Linked DNA regions of Rattus norvegicus. The main gene of each other region encodes a partner of the protein of the gene in region 2 in a complex. Links are inferred from orthologs where the notes say so. Each region holds a gene or a part of one and is shown on either strand. Other genes may lie near its edges. The genes, in order: Pdcd10 and Strip1.

Region 1 (11,394 bases), about 35 Mb from region 2:
TTCTCAGTTCATGAAGTACTTCAGCTCATTCTGGAGTAGTAACACCATTTTTTCCAAACATGATGAATATACACCATCTCTTACATGCAAAGCACTGATATTAGGGTAGAACATAAAACGTTCCCTAGTGGAGTAGAATTATTTTCACACAGAAATAACACCTAGCCATTTACCACCACTGCTCCTTATTTAATAGTTGCAGCCTAAATCATGGAAGAGCCTCTCTATTTTCAAACAACTTCAATATTTTGCTTTGATGTGAAGGGCATAGTCCATCATATTTAGTAAAATTGTGTCACTGAACCTTGCTGTATTTTTGAGAAAAATTATACTTGTAACCAATATAAAATGTTAAATCTTCATATGAAAGAAAGTTTCACTAAATCTACAATGGAGCTAACTAAAATAAAGAAGGTAACAGTGATCACATAGATATGTAAATGTAACATCATTTTTTAAGCGTATTTTAGTATTCTACAAAAAATAATTATTAACTTGTTGCCATGGCTAGTGAGAAAGAGATTATAACAGAAATGGCTGGACAGAGCAGGTCAAGTGAGAGCTCAGAAAGAGACTGCTTAACTTATCTGGCAAGAAAAGCAAGTCAGGAAGAAGAGAAAGGGCTTTGCTTTTGAGAACTGGGAATCTGAAAGGCGAGCATGATGACAGCTGCTGAATCACAGTCTCTAGCGAGGCTTTCCTCAGACAGCAAATCACAGAGCCATCACAAATACCAAAATATCGGCACAAAGCTAGGGTAATCAGGTGAGTGACTACAGAGCCTGGTTTTAGCTGCACTTAACAGGAAGGAAAGGGTATCCATCATCCTTGTCTTTCAACTTCAAGAAGCCCAGAGCAAAGCAAGGTACCTCTCAGTTAGAAGAAAAGAAAATTGTTCATGGCCCAGGGATAGAACAGCTTTAGCAAAGCCACAGCAGGACCCAGGGCTAGACAAAAGCCTAGTAACTTGCTGCTGGGGCCAGGAACTTAGCTGCTAGAACAGCATCAGGCTAGGAGCCTAACGGCCTGGACAAGCTATGTTCTACAGAATAAGCTGGGAGGAAGAACAGGACAGCTCTGTCTCACTGTTAGGTCTAAGTCCACAGTGAGGAAAAGCAAGCACCTAGAGACACTGAGGCCCTGTATGAGAGAGAGAGAGAGAGAGAGAGAGAGAGAGAGAGAGAGAGAGAGAGAGAGAGAGAGAGAGCGAGCTTCAAACAGCCTAGGACCAGCTCTGTTATTGGGCAGAGGTCTGTACATTTGCAGCTCATGGTTATGCTACCTGACGAGACTTATGCAGATCTCTGGGGCTAAGGTTTAGGTACAACTCAGATCTCTGGGGCTAAGGTTTAGGTACAACTCAACTTTGCATTATTAATTTGTGGCTCCCTCCTCCACCCAAGTAGCATAGCTATAATTAGGTCTAAGCTCATAATGGGATTCCAGCACTGTCCCAGCATCTAACTAGTTTGGCTTGCAACACTGCTGGCTACCACAAAAGGTGAGGTATACCTGGGACTTACGCATAACAAAACCTGGTATGAGTTCTCAACTTAAAGCCAGATGCTTGATGCTGAGCAGTTTCCCAGGTGATGGTGTCAGCAGAGCTTCCTGAACAGCTCTAAATAACCTAGGAACATGAACCCTCCTCTATTAGACTTCTAATCTAGAAGCATCACTGATACCTAGTATTTTCTCGGATTATATGTATACTGAAAACCAGGAGACTTTGCAAGAAAGGGTCTTGGTTCTAATTTTCCAATACAGTGGTCTTCATTGCCCAGGGGCTTGGAGCATGACAGAGATTAGTGGTATGGTGGTCACAGCTACAAGACAGTACTCGAGTACTGCTCCATGCAATGACTCTGTCTGAAGCCAAAGACAACCCTGTAAAAAGTCAGACCTTAGGCCAGGTACTGTGAAAAAGGCCTTCACCCTATGTGGGCCACAGAGAAAGGCTTGAGCATAAGAGAATCTTCTCTCTTTAATTTCTGAGCAATAAATCTTAACAATGTACCAATGAACAAAATTACTACTAAATTCTCCTTTATTCCAACCTCCCAATAAATTCTAAGAAACAAGATTACCCCAACACCAGATAACAACATAAAACACTGTAGCAAAATAAAACAGATTAAAAAATGGACAAGAAACTCAAACAGACATTTTTAAAAACATCAGTGTCTAACTAATGACACTAAAAGTAGGTGATAAGACAATACTGCTAAGTAACAAAGAAACACAAATCAAAAGCATAATAAGCCATCATTTCAGCCACAGTGATAGCAACACAAAGTAAGGAATGTTGGCAAGGCTGCAGAGAAAAGCAGAGCCACAAACACTGAGGGTGGGAGTGTAAATTATCAGCATGTTATGTGGACAACAGTACTAGTCATTTCACTGCTTGGGTACACATCTAACACGATGAAATAAGTCTATCAAATAGATGTTCTACACTCCCATGTTCACCAGAGCTGTTCACAAAATAGTCAAAAAATAGTAAACAAGTCTGGTGTTCATCAACTGCTGGATGAATGGAAAAACCCAGTACAGATATACTGGATACTATTCAACAGTGAAAAACAATGAAATCCTGTAATCTATGATAATATGAATGGAATAAGACACTATTGTTAGATGAAATAACTCATAGAGAAAAAACAACACCATATAATTTCACTTGGAAGGAGAGTCTAAAGATGTTGATTTGATAACAGTTGAAAGTAAATGGTTGTGAGGAGAGGCTGGGAAGAGTGGAGGAAGGAGTACAGGGAAAGTATGATCATTGAATACTAAGTCACAGTTAGACAGGAACAAATTATGGCGTGGTACTGCATAGTAAGTAGAGTGACTATACATAACAATTACATGCCAATTTTTAAAAAACGACCTAGGATTTTTAAGTTTACACAAGGCAAACATGTGTTAGACATCACATGGCTCCCACTGATACATATAACCTTTGTATTCCTGGCTATCTATTACAATACAATTAAGAGTCTACACAAGTATGGATGAGCCACATTTTCAATCCTCTGCTATTTGGGAATGTGCAGCTAAGCCTGCTACTAGAAGATCAGGCAAATCACGGCGACTTACCCAGCTGCTGAAAAATGTTCTTGAAAAACATCCTGAAATAACTTACATTGAATAAATTATCCATAGATAGACAGTATAACATTGTTTACAGCACCAAGGTTTGCACTAGGGACATTGAATTATATTAGTAATCACCTGAGAATTAGCAAATTACCTAAGAACATAACAGCACAAAGGAATACTTAGCCAGTGAACCAGATAAAGAATTGAGATACAATAACTCTTTTAGATATAAATAATTTACAGCAGATGAAATCTGTGATAACTGACAGCAATATTTATATTCCCATAAAATTTGGTACAGTAGGTCATACTGGCTTAAAAGTAGCAAAATATGGGAAAGTAGGATTACTAATTTAAATATGAAAAAGTATGATTTGTTAAAAAAACTAAATTGTAGCCATCTGCACTATTCATACTCGATTGACTTCTCTTTTCCCAAATAATGTGAACATCCAAAAACATAAGACAAATGAATCCTGAAATGTATACAAAATACATTTCCACTGCCGTTACTCTATTAGTGCATTCAAAAAGTAGAAGTAAAATTGCAACGCCTAAGCCTTTGTTAAAAACTACAGGCAAACTCTCAAGGGATTGATTGATCAGGACCTTAACTGCTCATAATGTGACTTGCACTCTATTTCCTAGAAACCACAGCAGGTTAAAGAGACTTCCTAATGTAGTGGTTCTTAATCTTTCTAACACGTTCCTCGTGTTAAGTGAACCCCAACCATAAAATTATATTGTTGCTACTTCATACCTATAATTTTACTACTGTTATGAACCCTAATGTAAATATGTGATATGTGGAATATCTAATATGTGACCCCAAAGAGGTCCTGACGAACAGATTGAGAAACACTGCCTTGGAGGGCAGAAACTATCATGAGGATGCCATTTCTGGTGCTATCCTTTCTGCCTTGGTGTACACTGTAATACTCCTCTCTAGTCTACTGACATTCAATAGAAGATATCATTATCACATTTCATTCAAATAGCAGAAGCCTGTCTGCACATGATTAGATCAACATCAATATAGGAATGGAACATAGCAGAGAATGCTGCCCTATACCCTTAGGAATATAACTTACTTTTATTTGTGGCTCATTCTCTTCATCTTTCAGGGAAATAATTATTAATACTATATCATTAACATATTAATACAAAGAAGTGCTTATGCTGCAACATAATCTTGTTTCTTTCCTTATCATTCAAAACATATGCTCCAAACATTTAACAGAGCATTTTGTAGTGAATGTCAAAGAGGATATTCCTGAGCACAAAACTGGCACTTACTTCATGTGGTTTCTTTTTATGGTTTCAAGGTAACACACAATTTAGCCTATGCCACATAACCATGCTAATAAAACTATGCTTCCCAGAAACCTTTACCTATGGCTTCCCCGAAGCACTACATTAATTGCAGATACAATTATTCCAGCTTGTGCTGCTTTCTAGCTATGAGGCTGAAGAGAATTACCACAGACACTTAGCTAGAAAGTATTTCCATCATTCACTAGTACAACCCTCAAAGGTGTTAGGTTGGTGATTTTGTCAACCTGACACAAGCTAGGGTCTTCTGAGAAGAGGACACCTCAGTTGAGAAAATGTATCCATGACATTGGCTATAGTGAACCTGGGGGGAATTTTCGGTTTGAAGCCTGATGTGTGGGAGGAATTACTCCTGGGGAGGTAGTCATGAAGTGTGTAACAGTGATCATGAGCCAGCTGGTAAACAGCACTCCTCCATGGCCTCTACTTCAGTTCTTGCCTCCAGAATTCTGCCTTGGCTTTTCTCAATAGGCTGTGAGTTATTTGGCTCAGTCTGACACCCAGCTCTCTAGAACTCACTACTCCTTTGCTGCCCAGCTTCTTAGCCCTTGTTACTTAACCTATAATCCAAAAGCAAGGATTTAGAGGTTCAACTTGGTAAATATCAAAAAACTCCATTCACATCTATATATTCATTTATTCCGATGATTTATGCCACTTTTGAAAGGAAAGCAACATTGGAACTTTCTGGCTACCAACATAGTGCCTACATTTGCTTTTGTCTGAAATATACAGGTTATTTACAGAATTTGTATATATACTGTCTTAGCATTTTATTGCTTTAAAAGGACATAATACTAAGGTCACAAAGGCAAACTTTTAGTTGGGGCTGACTTACAGTTTCAGAAGTTCAGTCTAATACCATCACGGTGGGAAGCATGGCATTATGTAGGCAGACTTGGTGCTGGAGGACCCAAGAATTCTACATCTTGATCTGAACACAGGCAGGAGACTAGTCTTCTGCAGGCGCCCAGGAAGAGGCTGTCTTTCCACACTGGGTAGAGCTTGAGCATTCAGACCTCATTGCCAACCCCCACAGGGACGATCTTTCTCCAAGGCCTTGACTACTCTAACAAGGCTACAGCTCCTAAAAGTGCCATTCCTCATGGGCCAAACACTCAAAGAATGAGTCTACGGGAGCCAGACCTTTCAAATTTCCACATAAAGTTTAATTTATATGGTTTAAGTTATTTGATTCATTATTGACAATTAAACATTCTAAAATGTCAGGATACTCTGAGGCCATTATGTCCAAAGTCCATGGCATTCAAAATTTCAGGTTTTATTACAACTTAATATTTTAATAAAATTCCTATCAAAATAAACAGAATTAATGATTGTTTTTAAATAAATCAAAGTAAAAACCTCACTTACTTGATTGTCTGCAGAAACCTCACTCTGTCATTGATCTCGTCTGGAATCTTACTGAGAATCTGTTTAAGTGCCCGTGCCTTTTCATTTAGGTCCTGGAATTCTGGCTCTGGTCGTTCAATCATGTACTCTGATAAAACAGAAACACAATAAAAATGTCATGTGACTCCGACAAATTCAATCTAACAACTCCCAATGCAGACTAAAGGAAGGATAGAGTGGGAAGACAGTCATTTAGTCCGAAAACAGAAACAAAGTTCAACTTGGTCAGGTGTAAAAATAAATAAATAATTTCTAAAGTAAAACAGAGTAAGACTACATATCTTTGAGATATATGAGGAAATGTAATACAATCTTAAATAATCCACCCATCCATTGATTTAAAGAAAGGAGGCTCCTTAACTCATGAGTCCTGATGTTCTGTATTGATGTCCCATGAGATCTTAAATAATGACACTCATAAAGAAGAAGTAGGTCATTTACATATTTGTAAAAAGGAAAGGGGAATTCAGAAACTTAAAACCCCTATAGTGTGGAATGTAGTACAGCCTACTTTATTAAGCTTCCTTTAGTATTGAATATGTGATGGGCAATAATATTAAAACTCCTACAGTACTGAATCTACTATAGTGTAGAATATTTTATGGTTCATCATACTAAAACCACATCGTGTTGAACATACTTTGGCTCATATTAAAATGTCTACAATGTGAAATATACTGTAGTTCATTATATTATAATCACAAACTTCCTACAATTTTCAGTATATTCTTAAAATTTCATTTGAAAACAAAGGCCAATACAAGCTCAACATATAGGCTGGGCTCCTAAAATGGCTTTTAAAAAGAAGTCTCAGTCAGACTTGGTAGATAAAAAGGCTTCTTACTACCAGGCTCACTGTCTAGTAGGAAGCTCATCAACTTAAAAACGGCTCACTTCTTTCAAATGCTACACAGAATATTTCTCAGAACTTTCAGTGAATTTGAAATTTGTCGATCCCTATATTAATGGGCAAAAAGATAAAAGTGTGTTGTATCAACAAATATGTCACTTAACTAAATTTGACAAATACAGAAAAGTTAAAGAGTCTGCTTGTTTCCTTTTACAGATAATGTCCACTACCATCACAAGAAGCATGAAGGAAGGGGGACAACTGGTAATGATCTGAAGGAAGTGCTTCTCAAGAATGGAGAAACTAAACACAAGTCTTCGTTCTGGTACCTTCTACGTCATCAGCTGCCATACGAAGAAGGGACTCAGTGAAGTTAACTTCTACACTTTTTTTCTCTAAGATTTTCATAATGATGTCTTGTGTGAGGCCTGGATTTTCCTTTTCAGCCTGCAAGAAAAACATGTAATGAGTCAACTGTCTGGTTCGAGATCTCTGGCTTCTGTGACAGAGGGATATACTGTGAGAAACACTGCTTCCACAATGAGATGCTTCCCATGCTTTGTTTTTTGTTTGTCTGTTTCTTTATTTTGGAGGGAGGTTTCAAGGACAAGGGGCAGATACAAGGGGATGGATGGGAAGATGAGTGGGACTGGCATACATGATGCAAAATTCATAAAGAATTAATAAAAAGGTAAAAAATCCTTACACTTCTCATGTTTTCCTATAAAAAATATCTCTAGTTTTGAAATACAGAAATGTGATCAGCATTTTAAAGCTAAAACTTAATTGTTAAGAATTTATTTACTTATAAGAACAGAAAGCATCGGTGACACGGTGCCACTAAGGGCACCATCAGCTTTGCTCAGCTTATACGTCAGAAGCTTTTATCATGTGCAAAGTCACAGACACACCGAGCATTCCTTGCCTTTCTATTATGTCTTCTCTCAGTCAACCAACAATGACAAAATCTCTTTATGATAGATTGCTCTTATCATGAATACACTGAGACATTTTAGCATATATAATATTTCATCTTAGATGGGCAATAATAACTCATCAAATGTTTTTGGAATATGTGCTGTATTAGAATTAAATACCAGGAAAAGCTAAATAAAACACTAGGGTAGCTTTTGCACTTTTAAGTAAAATTGATTTATTCACTTACCTACTTTTCATAGAATAATTTCCATTTCTCATTTTAGCTTTATAGCAAGAAATTTTGTTCAATGGTTTTTAAATTATCACTCATTGAAATTTGATTTTTTATTTACTGTTACTGGGATGTGTATGTGTGTGTGTGTGTGTGTGCGCGCGCGCGCGTTGCTTGGCCATAGGCAAGTACCCATGTACAAGTATAAGTGATAGGACAGCTCCGGGGAGTCACTTTTCTTCTCCCACTTTGCATGGGCTCGGGGAATTGAATTTTGCACATCAGGTTTGCTTGACAATTGCATTTCTGCATGGAGCCTTCCCAGCAGCCCTCTAGAGTACCCTGGAAAGCTACCGACAGAGCACGATAGATAATGTGGAGCATTATAAATAAATGCACATCTCTTAGGGCCCTAGAATCTAGCCATGCCAAGATTGAATATAAAGGCAAGTTTTGTACTTCCACTTTCACAGTAATTTAGTCTATTCCATTACTTAAATTTTTTTAATCAAATTGAAATTGTGTCTCCTTAAGGATGCCTGCCAATTAAATCTATATAACAGTTTTTCTTTTATCCTAATAATCATGTAGAAGCATAATTTCTAATCTTGATCCAATGACACTCATTCAGCTTCCTGAGTTTCAAACACAATTAACCTCTCTGACTCTGGAGCTCCATCCTAATGTCACCGAGGTTACAGTTTTCTTGTGTTCATCACTTTCTTAAAACACTCTTGAGATCTCAAGTAGGAAAACCTTAGAGGTTATGAACTGAAGTGGGGAAAGGCACAAAATATACACATGGGATGGATCACTGTTCTTGCAGCATCTAAATTCTGTTTCGTCAAGGTAACCCTCAAAAGAAAAATGATTCAAATTTGGTTAAATGAGCTATTATAGTCTTAGTTTCCTGAACTGCCAAAAATTATACTAGATGCTTATTTCATAACAGTTGTTTATCTTCCTTGTCCAAGTAGCATTAAGTCCACCTACATAATGAATTATCTTGGGGGCATGGTGTTTACAGGAAATAGCTGCAGAGAAACAGCTTGCTAATTAAGTTAAAGTGCTGAAAGAATTAAATCTAAGTCTGCACACAAAGTTTTTAATACTAGTTTGATTTGGCACAGCAAAAGGTCAGCAGTGGAAAATGCAGAAGTCTCACAGAGGCCCTGAGCTTTCCCAGTTCTCAGAGCTGAGAGCCAAATGCAGTTTATTCCGTAGTTTAGGTAGTACAAATATCTTAGGGAAGTGGTATATCCTAATAACAGAGTTATCCCAAAACTTTGTACACAACAAAATAGACAATATTTTATCTATTGCTATGTACTAATTAATGGGATGTTTGCACTTCCTGAGCACTGTAGTTTCTCAAACACCGGACTTAGATTGGCACCACCATTCTCATTTCCCCCTGCACATTGATTTTTTTTTTTTTCCTTTTTCTGGTACTTGCTTTTAGTAGTTCCTCAAAGACAGGCCATCATTTCAAAGAATGCAGATCAATCTAGTATGTTGAAATCACAAACTACTTCTAAAGAAGTTCACAATGTAAACAGATGTTAGTTTCACAGTACTCATTTTTCTAAAACACTTTACACAACCCACTAGGTTTGCAGGGCAGCTGGGCACAACTGTTGGAAATTATGTCTTGGTGCAGTGGTTTTCTCAACCTTCTTAGTGCTGCAACCATTTAATATAGTTCCTCATGTTGCATAAAAATAATTTTTTTGCTATTTCATAACTGTAATTTTTCAACTGTTATGAATTGTAGTATTAATATAGTCTTAGGTGATCCCTGTGAAGGATCAAGTCCTGGCTAAATATTCAAAAATTCAAATTCAATCAATACATTTGAAACCTCTGCTCTTAGATCAGAGACGCTATCTGCTCTTGATAAATCTGAACCTGGAACTTGATGGGTACTCAATCTTTGTAAAGACTCTAATGAAAGAGAAAAACAGACCACAGTGTAAAAGCATAGTTTCATAGATTACCAATGTAGGAGACAGCACACCATGTCGGCAGCTGACAAGAAGGTCAAGCAAGGTAAATGCTAATCAAGCAAAATGGATATGTTAATAAAAATCGTGATATATTTTTATTTTGAGAAGATTATTCTCTTTTTCTGAAAATAAAAACAGGCAATTTGATATGATGTGACTAAAAAATACTGTATAATACAACTGGGAATACGGATATAAAAAAGTAGTTCACTAATTTTTTTGTCATTTCAAAAAGAAAAATTTTTTAATGAGTACACAGTTGCTGCCCTCCGACACACCAGAAGAGGGCATCGGATCCCATTACAGATGGCCGTGAGCCACCATGTGGTTGCTGGGAATTGAACTCAGGACCTCTGGAGAGCAGTCAGTGCTCTTAACCGCCGAGCCATCTCCCCAGCTCCAAAAAGAACGTTTTTAAAGTTTATTTTCATTACTTTAATTATGTGGTTGCAGGTAAGTAAGTGTGAGTACCTGAGTAGGCTAGAGGCAGAGTTTCCTAGAGCTGCAGGTATAAAAGGTCAGGAGCCTCCTGCTGTGGCGCCTGGAGCTGATTTTAGGTCCCCTAGAACCTTTGACCTCTCTCTCCAGTTTCTCAAACTCACCTTTCCTGCATAGTTTTCTTCAGTTTTATTTGAGATCTAACTAGCTTTAACAGTCAACAATAAATCGCTGCTTAATATGAGGTCCATGTTCCCCTTAAATAATCTTCACCATTTTTGGAAGTAAGAAATATTGTTGTGAACTTGAAGCAGAATAGTAGATGCCTATAGTTTCCAGTACTTGGGAGGGCTGAGACCAGGCTCATTGGAAGGTCGAAGATCAAGGCTAGACTTGTGTAACTTTAAGACTTTAGCTCAGCAGTAAATAAACAAATAAAGTAAAACAACACTAAAATATGAGTGCTGTGGATAATAAATGTAATGTATCCATGGGAAACCCAGATATGCAGATCTGTCTTGGTCATACAACTGTATTTTTGTTACAGTGTCATAAAAAAATTTCTCAAGGATACATTGTTTCACTAGTGTTTTGTATATCACTAAAGCAACAGCTACTAAAAATTTAAACTTATTCTTAATTTAAACATTAACACATTTTGACTTCAAAATAAGATATTTTAGTTGATGAGGATTTCTAAGTAAATAAAAATTAATTTGGGGGGGCACATAACATTTTAAAACAATATGCTCAATACTCTCTAGAGTATGGCTAAACAACAGAAATATACCGAGAACAAATATGAAATCAAGTAAACACTTAATTTTTCTCTAGAGGTTGTGTATAAAGAAACTGTTTTTATAGTGTATAAGAAATGAATTCTTACTACTAAGCTACTAATTCTTACTACTTCTGCTAATTTTAAAATGATGTCATCACCAAACCTGTGTACATTTTATCCTCAGAACAGGTCTGTTTGAACAAGTCATATTTCCGAGGGTTCAACATGTCACCAGTAATGATCAACTCAACAGCTCAGGTCTAAGGACAAGGAAGAAATGCACTGAAATGTCGTAACTACATTCTCAAAGAAACCTTAGCTA
Region 2 (11,341 bases):
TGGCTTTGTTTGGTCCCAGGAGAATAGAGTGAGCCTGGGCCAAGGGAGAGGCCTTTCAGGGCTATTGTCTGCCAGCAAGAGCCTGGGGAGTGTCTCTTCATGAGTATGCATCGTCTACAGATATGTACACATCAGTCTTTAGACTGCACGGAGCCCGCGAGTAGCCTTCCCTTTTCCTTAGCCAAGTTCTAAGACAATTGAGGGGCGTTGGCAAGTGGATATGATGCCGTCAGCTTCGGTGTTCATAGAATAGCTGGAGAGCAAGGCCTAAGAGCACCATGGTGGTGTGCTACTAGCATACTCTAGAAACCGTGCGGGCTCAGTTACCTAGTCCCAGACAGAGCTGGAGGGCAGGCAGGACCCAGGCACTCAGCACACAGGCAGGTAGAGTCTCAGACTATCTTGTTTTTCTCTCGTGCTCGCCTCTGAGGAAGCTGAGGGAACTGTGGGTGTAAGGATTAGCAGGGAGAAGACACGAAGGGTCAGGAGAGCATCTCCAATGTGTCTGAGCTGTGATATTTTTAAGTCCAGTTTTGAAATTGGTAGTCCTAGGTGGTCTGCAGCTAGGCTTCTGAGTATACAGTTAGTTTTGCCTCTGATGTCTTCTCCTGTCATTTTTGCCTCTGGAAGTCCTTTCCACTTTGCTTTGCTTTTTGCTAACTACTATGAGTTTTTCACACAGGTTGTCAGAAGTAGTTTTAAGTTAGGAATCTTGTTGTGACTTAGCCCTCTTTCAGAAGACCAAAATAAAATCTTGGGTCTTTGCCAGGTGAGGGGGGGTGTCTGGCCAGAGTTTTTCTCGCAGCACCTTCTTTCCTGCCTTTCTCCTTAGCACAAATATACATCGATTGCAGAGGTCCAGGCACAGATGGAGGAGGAATACCTTCGCTCTCCTCTCTCAGGGGTGAGTTAAGAGGCACAAAGTCCCCAACTGCTCTCAGTCTCTGAACTGGGCCTGGCCCACAAGGCTGCTCCGGGAGTCAGCCTCTCCTTGAAGAGATTCCCATCCATGTCTTTCTCTCAGTCTGTGAATGGCACCTTGAGCATGAAACTTGATCTCTCTGAGCTTTGTTTCCTACCTGTAAAAGACCAGTGTTAGACTAGTGCCTTCTCTCTTCGTTATCTAGTGTCTGTTGAGGTAACATCTATCTGTAGCCCAGATGGCCTCAAACACCTTTGTCAGCCTTTTTGGTGCTGGGTTACAGGTGTTTGCTAACGTGCACAACTGTGGTGCCTTACGCAGTATTAACCTATTCCAAGTGACATTCTTGGGATGTTTTAGAGCCTCCTGTCAGTGTCACCAGCGTCTTCACTTTGATGCTTAGAGACTCTATTCTAGCCAGCTAGTAAATGGGCTCAGGACTGTATCCTGAGCATAGGTTTTGTTTTAAAGGGAGAAGAGGAAGTTGAACAAGTTCCTGCAGAAACCCTCTATCAAGGCTTGCTCCCTAGCCTGCCTCAGTATATGGTGAGTGCTCTCTCAGTAAGCACCCGTGGTGAGGCCCTGAAGGAGCACGGCTGCTCTCCTTCACCCTACAAGGCTCCTGCCGCCTGAGGACCCTCAGGAGTCCCACTTCTCAGGGCTTCATTATGGTCCTAGGCTCTGATTCTCATCTGGGTGGTCTGTTTTTCCCAGATTGCTCTCCTGAAGATCCTGTTGGCTGCAGCTCCCACGTCAAAAGCCAAGACAGACTCCATCAACATCTTGGCAGATGTCCTGCCTGAGGAGATGCCGTGAGTATCAGTGCTGTGATGGAGGGTGGAGGGTGGACCAGGAGTCTTCAGGTGGGCTTCTTTGCTTGGCCCCGCTTTGCTGCAGGTGAAGTTTAGGGAATTTCTAGTTCAGACAAAGGTATTGATTGGACAGATTTCACTAGGTAGGGAGATGGCTTGGCCTGAATCCCAACACAGACTGTCACTGACTGAACTTGAAATGAATTAGGATGCCAGTTTTCCTTTGTAAAATAGATGAGCAGTAGGCTTTCTCAGAGTCCTTCTTCTAGAGCCGTGTGGTTGGCATATCCTGCATGGGACGGGTAGCTCCTGGTCAGTTTGCCAGCTACCACTGAGCCTGTACCTGTGTGGAGTTCTCCTACTGGCCAGTCAACTGGCAGGCAGAACTCTGGCAAATGACTCAAGAGGAGAGAGTGAAACTCTTAGCTATTCTTCCTCTCTGGCTGACAGGTCTTTTCCTGCAAGAGAACAGCCTGAGGTCATATTCTGCATTGAGAAAAGACCCAGGCCCACACCTGACCTGCTTGCTTGCCAGGGCTGCCTTGTTCTGAGCTGACCCGCAGGTCTGGTGGTGGTGGTGGCCAGGTGAGCAAGAGACAGAGATTGGCTCATACCAGAATGGGGTTCACAGAGCAGTAGGCCATCTTGATAATCCTAAGAAATATGATCAAATATTGAATTTCTTCTGAAGATTTGCAATGAGAAGTCCTGAATTAAGAAATATATAATTTAGTGCTCCCTAAATGTGTCTAACTTCAACATCCCCCACCACGCCACTGTAGAGTGAAATTTCCCACCTACTGGCATGCCACAGAACATACTTTGGGGACTCAAGTTAACAGAGTGGCCAAAGCTTAGGGAGAGTTTGGAAAAGAAGTTCAGTTTTAGAGGAGAAGCAGAGAGAAGACTGAGTGTGCATTGGAGGGAGAAGGAGGAGAAGCAGAGAGAGGACTAATTGTGCATTGGAGGGAGCTAGAAGTTGTTCCCAGTTGGGTCTCTTGGGAGCTAGAACCCTCAGGCTGACCTCTGAGAAGTTTGAGGATTGTGGGCCTTTTCCAGAGGACTCTGGAGTCTGTCTCCTCCATGGACACCTCAGAAGGACGTGCTGTGTGCTGGTGACTCACCCAGGCACTTGTGTTTCTAGCACCACAGTGTTGCAGAGCATGAAGCTGGGGGTGGATGTGAACCGCCACAAAGAGGTCATCGTTAAGGCCATTTCTGCTGTGCTGCTGCTGCTGCTCAAGCACTTCAAGTTGAACCACATCTACCAGGTACCTGTAGGGTCTGTCTGCCTTCCTATGGGCTGGGCAGGGCCTAAGCTCCCCTATCCCCTAAGTGTAGGCTTCACTTCTGAGCCCACTTGAACTTTGTGTGAGCATTCTAACATGAGGCCCTCCAGCCAAGGCCTTTTATGTGTAGAGAAAAGAGAACAAGAGGTATGCTTGATTTTCTTCTGTTGGTTTCAGTTTGAGTACATGGCCCAGCACCTGGTATTTGCCAACTGCATCCCTTTGATCCTGAAGTTCTTCAATCAAAACATCATGTCCTACATCACTGCCAAGAACAGGTAATAAGGATCAGAGACCAGAAAGGGTGGTGTAGCCAGGTGGCAGCACTTCCTGCTGTCTCCACTGAGACTTCTCAGCAGGCTTTTTCATTAAGCTTCTATGGGTTAACATTTTGCCAGGCCTGGGGAGTCAAAATGAATGACAGTGTGTCAGTTATAGGATTAGCTACTCTAGTGACTTTGTGTTTGACCAAGAGGCTCTCATCCTAGGTTCTAGAATTGTCACTTCTATCCTCCTCCCTTTCCCCTCCAGTTCTTCATACAGAGCTTGGCCTTGTGCACTATAAATCCTTGTCTGATGATTCTTGTATACACCCACCTCGTGCCCACTGTTCCCCATAGCACCTGCTTGTCAGTATGAGGCATCACATGGGAACTGTCCAGATAGCCGTGGCCTCTAAGAGGGCTTGGCATAAATCACTTGCCTTGATTCATGGTAAGGGAAAAGCTGCAATAGATGCTCCACGTCCCCTTACAGTTACTGATTACATTACAGACTCAGTCAGTCACAGAGAGACTGTACGTACTGAAGTTTATTTCTTCATCTTATAGCCAGGGAAATCAGGTTAGAACAGGCGAGGTGGATTGTTACTTCTGCTTCAACTCAATCACGGCTGCTCTGGCAGACCCAGCCTTTGCTCACAGCGAGCATCTGGGTCTTTTTGCATTCTGTAGCATTTCTGTCTTGGATTACCCTCACTGCGTGGTGAACGAGCTTCCAGAGCTAACCGCAGAGAGTCTGGTGAGTGGCTCAGATCTCCCTGGCTATCCCTTTGGTATGAGCGTTACCTCCCCCAACACAAAGGTGTCTTCCAGAAGAGGTCACCTTTGGCTTTTAAAGTACCAGAAATGGTCATAGAGTCAGGGAGAGGGCTGTTGTGGAGCAGAATGATTGGGGGTTGGGTATATGGTTATTGGGGCATGTTCTGCAGGGGCTGCTGACCTAGAACTTGCCCACTCAAGCTGTCTACACCTTCCCACTGAAGTCTGGGGCCCTGCTGCCTAGTTTTGTAGCTCATGTTTCCTGCAGGAAGAGTCTTGAATCCTGGACGCTCTGTCAACTTGTGGGTGGAGTTCCCCTTTGGCTGTTAGATGGGCATTCTAGAATCATTGAAGTCAGTCAGGCCTTTGGACATTGCACTGAGCAGCCAGTGAACAGCCTGCAGCCGTGACAGCTGTGTTTGTGTCTGGCCTTTCCCTGTAGGAAGCTGGTGACAACAACCAGTTTTGCTGGAGGAATCTCTTTTCTTGCATCAATCTGCTTCGGATCTTGAACAAGCTAACGAAGTGGAAACACTCAAGGACTATGGTGAGTGGTGAGCAACCAGCCTGGGATGTGCTGTGTCCCCTCCACCTGGGACAGGTTCTCAGGTGCGGCTTGCCTGGCAGCATTGTCCTCATTCAGGTCTGCAGACTTCTGGTTTTTTGATGAGTACAAGCAGAAGCTGGAAGAGACTCTCAGTCATGACCTCAAACAAACCTCCTGGATGGAGACACTTTGTCCTCCTCATCCTGGGTGGGAAATGATAGCCAGGAGTCAGGAACCACCTTAACCCTGGGTTGCCCATGGAACAAGGAAGGTCCATGAGTTCTCAGAAACCAGATTACAGAGTGGCCCGTAACTAGGGTGACCAACCTTTGTGGTTCGCCTATAGCTCTGCTAGTTGTAGTGCTTAAAGCTCCAGATGCCAGCAGACTAGTGAGTTCAAGAGAAACTGCATGGCTTGTCATCCCGTTTGCTACCCCAGAAGTGCTAAGGGACCGTGCAGTGGCACTCACACTTACTGCTTTCTCACCATGGCTGCCACCATGGCCGCCCAGATGCTGGTGGTGTTCAAGTCGGCGCCCATCCTGAAGCGGGCCCTGAAGGTGAAACAGGCCATGATGCAGCTCTATGTGCTGAAGCTGCTCAAGGTGCAGACCAAGTATTTGGGACGACAGTGGCGCAAGAGCAACATGAAGACGATGTCTGCCATCTACCAGAAGGTGCGGCACCGGCTGAACGACGACTGGGCTTACGGCAATGGTGAGGCCACCTGCGGCGCGGGCGGGAGAGGGTAGGGCAGGGGACGCCTTGGACTCCTTGCCTGTGGTACCTTCATTTTCTCTGCCCTTAGGCATTGAGCAGGGCCTGTATCTAGTTTTTGTGGCTCTGGGCAAGACTTTGGGAAGCTGCTGAGAATCTGCATTCATCTGTTTCTCTGTCCCTCCACTCTAAATTCCATCTTTTCTAGAATTTGCCGTAAGATTCTGCCCACTCCTCATCTCTGCTGCAGCCTCCTGGCCTACTACCTCCTGGCCTACTACCTCCTGGCTGCCTGAGTGCAGTAGATCCTCACTGGCTCTGCTCTAGCTTCTCCTCCCACTGTCGGCCTCAGATTTGGCTCCTGTAATCTTTTCAACATACGCATCCTGTACTGTTGCCTCCTGAGTAAAATTCCTGATTAGCTTTCTAATTCCCTTAGGAATGAAATCAAACGTTAAGACAGGGACGGGTGCTCACTCACTCACTCGCCTGGTCCCATAGTCTGTGGCTTTCTTTTCTGTCACACCCAAGTCTCTGTCACACCCAAGACTCCAGACAGAGTATGACCCTCAGTACCTGCTGAGCATTGCTCCCAGGAGCGCTGCAGATCCCAGCAGCCACAGATAGCCACGCTCTCCAGTGTCCTGCTGAGCCTGCAGACAGACTGCACAGGGGCAGGGGAAACCATCCTTAGTCCCTGAGCGTTAGCAGTGTTCTTCCTGCTTCTGGGCCTCTGTAGACTGCTGGCTGTCTACAGCGTCTTCTCCCAGTCTGCTGTTGTCTGTGTGGGTGTTGCTGTGTTACATCTCTCTGTAACTCTATACCTGGCATCTGGGCTCAAGGTGGTGCATGACGTTTGTCATGGAGGTGAGAGAATGAGCAGATGAGGGACTGTAGGGTTATGTGTCTGTCCTCTGGAGCCAAGGGGAGGCTGTGCTTAATAAAGAGTTTGGTTCCCCCTCCTGGAGGGGCAGGAGGCTTTCCCATCTATCTGCAAGTTTCTTTTTCAGCGTTAAGGATTGTCTCCTTAGATTTGACCGTACTTCTGGGAAAGAATTTCTATTCAGCTTTCTGAGGGTTTGGGAGTGATCCTTTTGGTTAAAATCATGAGGAGCTATATAGGGCTGAATCCTAACTGGGTTTTCCTGCTTTTCCCAGATCTCGATGCCCGGCCATGGGACTTCCAAGCAGAGGAGTGTGCTCTCCGTGCCAACATTGAACGCTTCAATGCCCGGCGCTATGACCGGACCCACAGCAACCCTGACTTCTTGCCAGTGGACAATTGCCTGCAGAGCGTCTTGGGCCAACGGGTAGATCTTCCTGAGGACTTCCAGATGAACTATGACCTATGGCTAGAAAGGGAGGTCTTCTCTAAGCCCATTTCCTGGGAAGAGCTGCTGCAGTGAGGAGGGATGAAAAAGACTGTGATCTGTCTCATACCCGAGGGACTGTCCTTGCCATTGCTGCAGTGCTCCTGTTGCCCTCCAGGTGGCAGCACAACTCCATTGAGTCCTCCAGAACCAGTCCTGGGCCCGTGAGTGAACCCAGGTTAGCCTCTGGTTGATTCCCAGCATCCTACTCAGGAGCAGTCATCTCCAAGCTGGGATCTACTCTTCCTCCACTTCCCCAGTTTCTACCCTCCTCCCTTGGATTGACTGCGTGAAACTCATTTCACAAGTAGCCCCAGGCTGGGAAAAGCTGAGAAGGGCCTTGTGTCCCTTCTCATCGGCAGCTGTGTCTTGAGGCCATGCTGACTCCTGAGCTGCTTTGGCACGTCAGTTGGTCAAGAAGGAGGGGTGGCATGAGGGCCAGGAACAGAGTCAGCGCCTTGGTTGTGCTCTGGGGGTATCTCGTGTCATTCCGGTATCCTGCTGAGTTTTGTCCAGAAGTGATAGATACCACAGCCTCTGCACCCTGGTTTTGGATGTGGTCAAAAGTGGAGTGAGGCTTCCTGAAGCCAGAGGTGCTGGTTTCTTCTTGATTGTCATGGCCTGTAAATATACAAAACTCTGTGTGGTCTCATGTCATGGTGGGGTTTTTAATGTGTTTGTGTATTCTGTTTACATTAAAAGAAAGCAAAACTGTCCCTGTCGCCTTGTCTGTAGATGCAGGTTCTGGGGACTGGGGATGTAGCACAGGTGATCGAGTGCTTACTTAGCAGGTAAGAAGCCCTGGGTTCCATCCGCACACAGCACCACATAGGACAGGCATAGCAGTGCACACACTTGTAATCTCAGCACTTGAGAGGGGGAAGCAGGCGAATCAGAAGTTCTAGGTCAGCTTTGGCTAAATAGTTCAAGTTCAGTCTAGGCTGTGTAAGGTTCTCTCATAGAAATGTCTGAAAATTGTCAGTTTTCAAAAGTATCTCTTCCTCCGCCCAGCTAAGTGCTTGCCTGTCTTCCTGCCTTTCCTACTAGTGTACAGGGAAGGAGGACGTGGTACTTTGGTCATCTACCCACGTCAGTCTGGATTACTTTAAGGTTCTGGGTTTGCTGGGGATCAGTGTTCCTGACTCCTGGGCTTGCTATAGTTTCAGTAGAAACTTCAGATTTCTCAGGATGACATTCCTTAGCTGCCCTCACACAAGCCAGTTAGTGCTAGGTTTAAGTGAAGTCACTTGGTTCGGTCTTCACTGGGACAGAGGTGTTTGGGACAAGGAGGAGAGTTAGTTGTGTGTATCAAAGGAATCAGTTTCATGTGGGAGAGCAATGGAGAGAGCAGGTGTCCTATGGCTAAGGGAGAAACAAGGGGAACAGGACCGTTTAAGTCCTAGAACCTCACTTGGCTCAGATATCAGCCTCAGCCTCTTTTTCTTCAGACTTAACCCCCTCGTGATTTTAGTGACAGACTGCTCTTTCTCATAATTCCTAGACGCTCCCTGTAGGCAACATGTATGCGGTCTTAAGTCTCTAGGGGGAGAGCCTTGACTGATAGAGGAAATGTTCCAGGGCAAGTCTGTTTGGTTGGTATTTAGATACAGTGCCTGCTGGGTCTGCGACCTGCTGAGCCCCAGGATGTGCTTTAATGTGGTGGCATAGTTAATAATAGCCAGGTGGAAGGGTCAGAACATGAAAGTCACAAAGCCTTATGGGCTGGAAAGTCCCTATGACTAGCTCTTTTCCCCCCAAAGCAACTTGCATAGGACAATGGAGTCTCATCGTTCTTGTTTGCATGGTGGGTCTGCTGTTTGCGTGCTAGAACAAGGAAGTATAGATGTGGAAATACCTGAGAAACGTGGGTTTCACGTTCTTAATCCAACATGCATCTAGCTCTCTGAAATCGCTTAGCCTGGTGCTTTGACTTCCCCTGCTCCTCTTTGCAGACATCCCAGGCTCTCTTCTTCCTTAAAGAAGAGAACAAAAACCATAAACCATAAGGCAATGAGCCAGGGCAGATGAATCCCTTCATCTTTAGATTCAGGTGCCGGCCCCAAGAAAGAGCAAAGCAGCTTCTCTGACTGGCATGTTACTGTCATGTTGCCTTTAAAACCCAGGTCCTTGTGTGTAAACATCTTGGAGACACCTAATTTCGGGCTATTTCATCTGGGTAATGAGAGGAACATGAAGACGCTCTGAAAATGGTTGAGTTACACAGAAGGGTCCAGTTCTCCTTAATGTACCAAGGAATAGATTACTGTGTGACTGTGGACCATGCCAGGAGACTTAGTAAGGGCACCCAGGTGCCCGCCTGAGACAGTAGGCAGCTCCCTGTTCCCTCTAGATTCCTGCCCAGAACACGTGCCATGCTTCCACATGGGACACTGAAGTTCTGGGCTGTTGCACCATAGGTCATGTGGCCCAGAACAAAGTTCTCCGTGTTAATGAGGTATCTAAAGGCCCTGGGGGTTTAGCTAATAAGCTTCCCTTCCCAGATTCCTTCCTGCAAAAAGTATTTAATCTCTGGTCCACCCTTAGGAGCTGGTACACATCTGTTTTCCAGGATGAACAGTCAGTAAACAATGTGGATAAACATGGACTGTCTCATCGAGAACTGCAATGGCGAGCATGAACAATGCCTTCGACTACCAAGCCGCTGCCCGAGTCTCCCACAGAAGGCCTCTCTGTGTTCCCAGACAACCATGGCTAAGCTAAGGACTTTCACTGATGAGCTAAGGCTGAGATCCCCATTCCCATGGGCCCCGGAATAGTCCTCAGCCCAAGGGCCCTCAACTCCCTTCTGACTCCTCTGTGTGATACCCCAGCAGTGACTGTATGCCCAGAAGTCATGGAACCCCAGCTTCAGCCCCCCACATCCTAGGCTGCATTTCCCTCCCCCAGAGTGGTGCTTCTTAAAGCCCAGCACCTAGTGCTCCCACTTTTCGCCTCCCCAGTGTTGCTTCCATACCAACCTACATTTCCCCTAGGCTAGTATCATCTCAGAAGATCCACAGGGACCCGACACTGTAAGGTGTCTGTTAGTCGAATTCTCCACATAGTGGTTAGCAATAAACAACTTGTGTCACAATAGCCCCGTGTGATGGTTCCTCTTCACTATCAACTTGACTGGATTTAGAAATCACCTGAAAAAGACACTTCAGTATGTGTGTCTGTGGGGACATTTCCAGAGAGGTTTAATGGAGGAAGGAAGGCTTACCCTAAATGTGGGAGGCCCCACTGCATAGGCTGAATAAAGGAAAAAGTGAGAAAGTGTATTGAGCACTGGTGTTCATCTGTTTTCTGTGAACAGACAGAATGTGACCAGCCACCCCACACTCCTTTCACCATGGCTCCTCCATGATGGCTGTATCCCCTATAACTAGGAGCCAAACAAGCCCTTCTTTAAGTTGCCTTTGCCAGATATGTTGCCATAGCAACAAGAGAAGGAGCGACTGTACCGTGAAAGTAAATGCCACCATGGACCCCATTTTGCAGATGTGCAAACTGGCACAGAAAGGGTAAAGAACTTGCCCAAGGGCATAAGAAATAAGGGATAGAGCTAGGATTCAAACGCAGTCTCCACAGTAAACATGTGCTCCCTGCCCCCACCTTCTTAACCATTGTCATCCCTGGGCACTCAGGGCCACTGCTCAGTTATTCATTTGTAAGCCATACTTGCTTGGTATTGGCTCTGACATGGTCCCTAGTGCAGAAGATTCATGGCAAATGTCCCTTGCTTTAGGCCCTAACTGGGCCACCCAGGCTTAGCCTTGTCTTAGCTATTGGCTAACCCTGAGTGTACCCTCAAAGGAACTTGAATTATTGTGGTGGGGTGTGTGTGTGTGTGTGTGTGTGTGTGTGTGTGTGTGTGTGTGTGTGCGCGCGCGCGCTTTGGTTTTGTTTTGTTTGACACATTAGTGGTTGCATCCAGGGCTTTATACACACTAGGCGAGCGCTCTGCCGCTGGGATACAGCCTAAGCACTCTCTAGTTTTTATTTTGAGGCAAGGTCTCAGTAAACCTACCCAGACTGGTCTTGAACTAGCTTGTAACTCAGCAAGACCTTGATAATGTAATCCTCCTGCTTCGGCCTTCCAAATAACTGATCTTACAGGTCTGTGCCATTTAGTCCAGCTTTGAGCCTCAGTACCTTTCCTGGTCTTAGAGGACTCCTGTGTTAGCTACCTTTGCTGTACATGTTCAGTTTATCTCTTGGGAGGCTGTTTTCCTGCCTGTTGTGTAATAAACTGATTAGCGTCACAGTAGCTGCTATCTTCATTCAACACTTGGCACAGTCAGCCTTAGGCTGCTGCTCTCAAGAGAGGTTCACTCCCTTGGAAGTCAGACAACCTTGACTCTTGTTCTGCCTTCTGAGACAGGGTCTCACCATGTAGATGATCTCACTGTGTCGTCCTGGTGGCCTGGAGCTAACATCATAGCTCGACTATGCCTCTCAAGTGCTGGATGCAAACTGTGTGGTACCACACCCAGCTAGCCCTGACATTAACCTGAGTCTTTACCTTTACTCACTGGCTTATCTGTAATGTCTGCCTTAATGACAGACAACCCTGTTGCAAGGGCTGAATAAGGTATCCGAGTATTAGAGTCTCAGACCTGACTGACAAGGGACCACTATAAA

What was found.
Region 1: Strip1 (region 2) and Pdcd10 share a complex: the UniProt entries of both Homo sapiens proteins name them as parts of the core of STRIPAK complex. The link is inferred for Rattus norvegicus from reciprocal best matches to the Homo sapiens genes STRIP1 and PDCD10.

Annotation. Positions count from the first base shown.
Region 1 is NC_086020.1:162,607,501-162,618,894, forward strand, and holds part of Pdcd10 (programmed cell death protein 10), read right to left. Parts: intron 7,145-11,394; coding exon 7,027-7,144; intron 5,936-7,026; coding exon 5,809-5,935; intron 1-5,808. UniProt on the Homo sapiens protein: Promotes cell proliferation. Modulates apoptotic pathways. Increases mitogen-activated protein kinase activity and STK26 activity. Important for cell migration, and for normal structure and assembly of the Golgi complex.
Region 2 is NC_086020.1:197,932,641-197,943,981, reverse strand, and holds the end of Strip1 (striatin-interacting protein 1), read left to right. Parts: intron 1-832; coding exon 833-904; intron 905-1,393; coding exon 1,394-1,468; intron 1,469-1,636; coding exon 1,637-1,734; intron 1,735-2,878; coding exon 2,879-3,005; intron 3,006-3,200; coding exon 3,201-3,301; intron 3,302-3,976; coding exon 3,977-4,043; intron 4,044-4,505; coding exon 4,506-4,610; intron 4,611-5,122; coding exon 5,123-5,327; intron 5,328-6,485; coding exon 6,486-6,733; 3' UTR 6,734-7,413; downstream 7,414-11,341. UniProt on the Homo sapiens protein: Plays a role in the regulation of cell morphology and cytoskeletal organization. Required in the cortical actin filament dynamics and cell shape. Part of the striatin-interacting phosphatase and kinase (STRIPAK) complexes.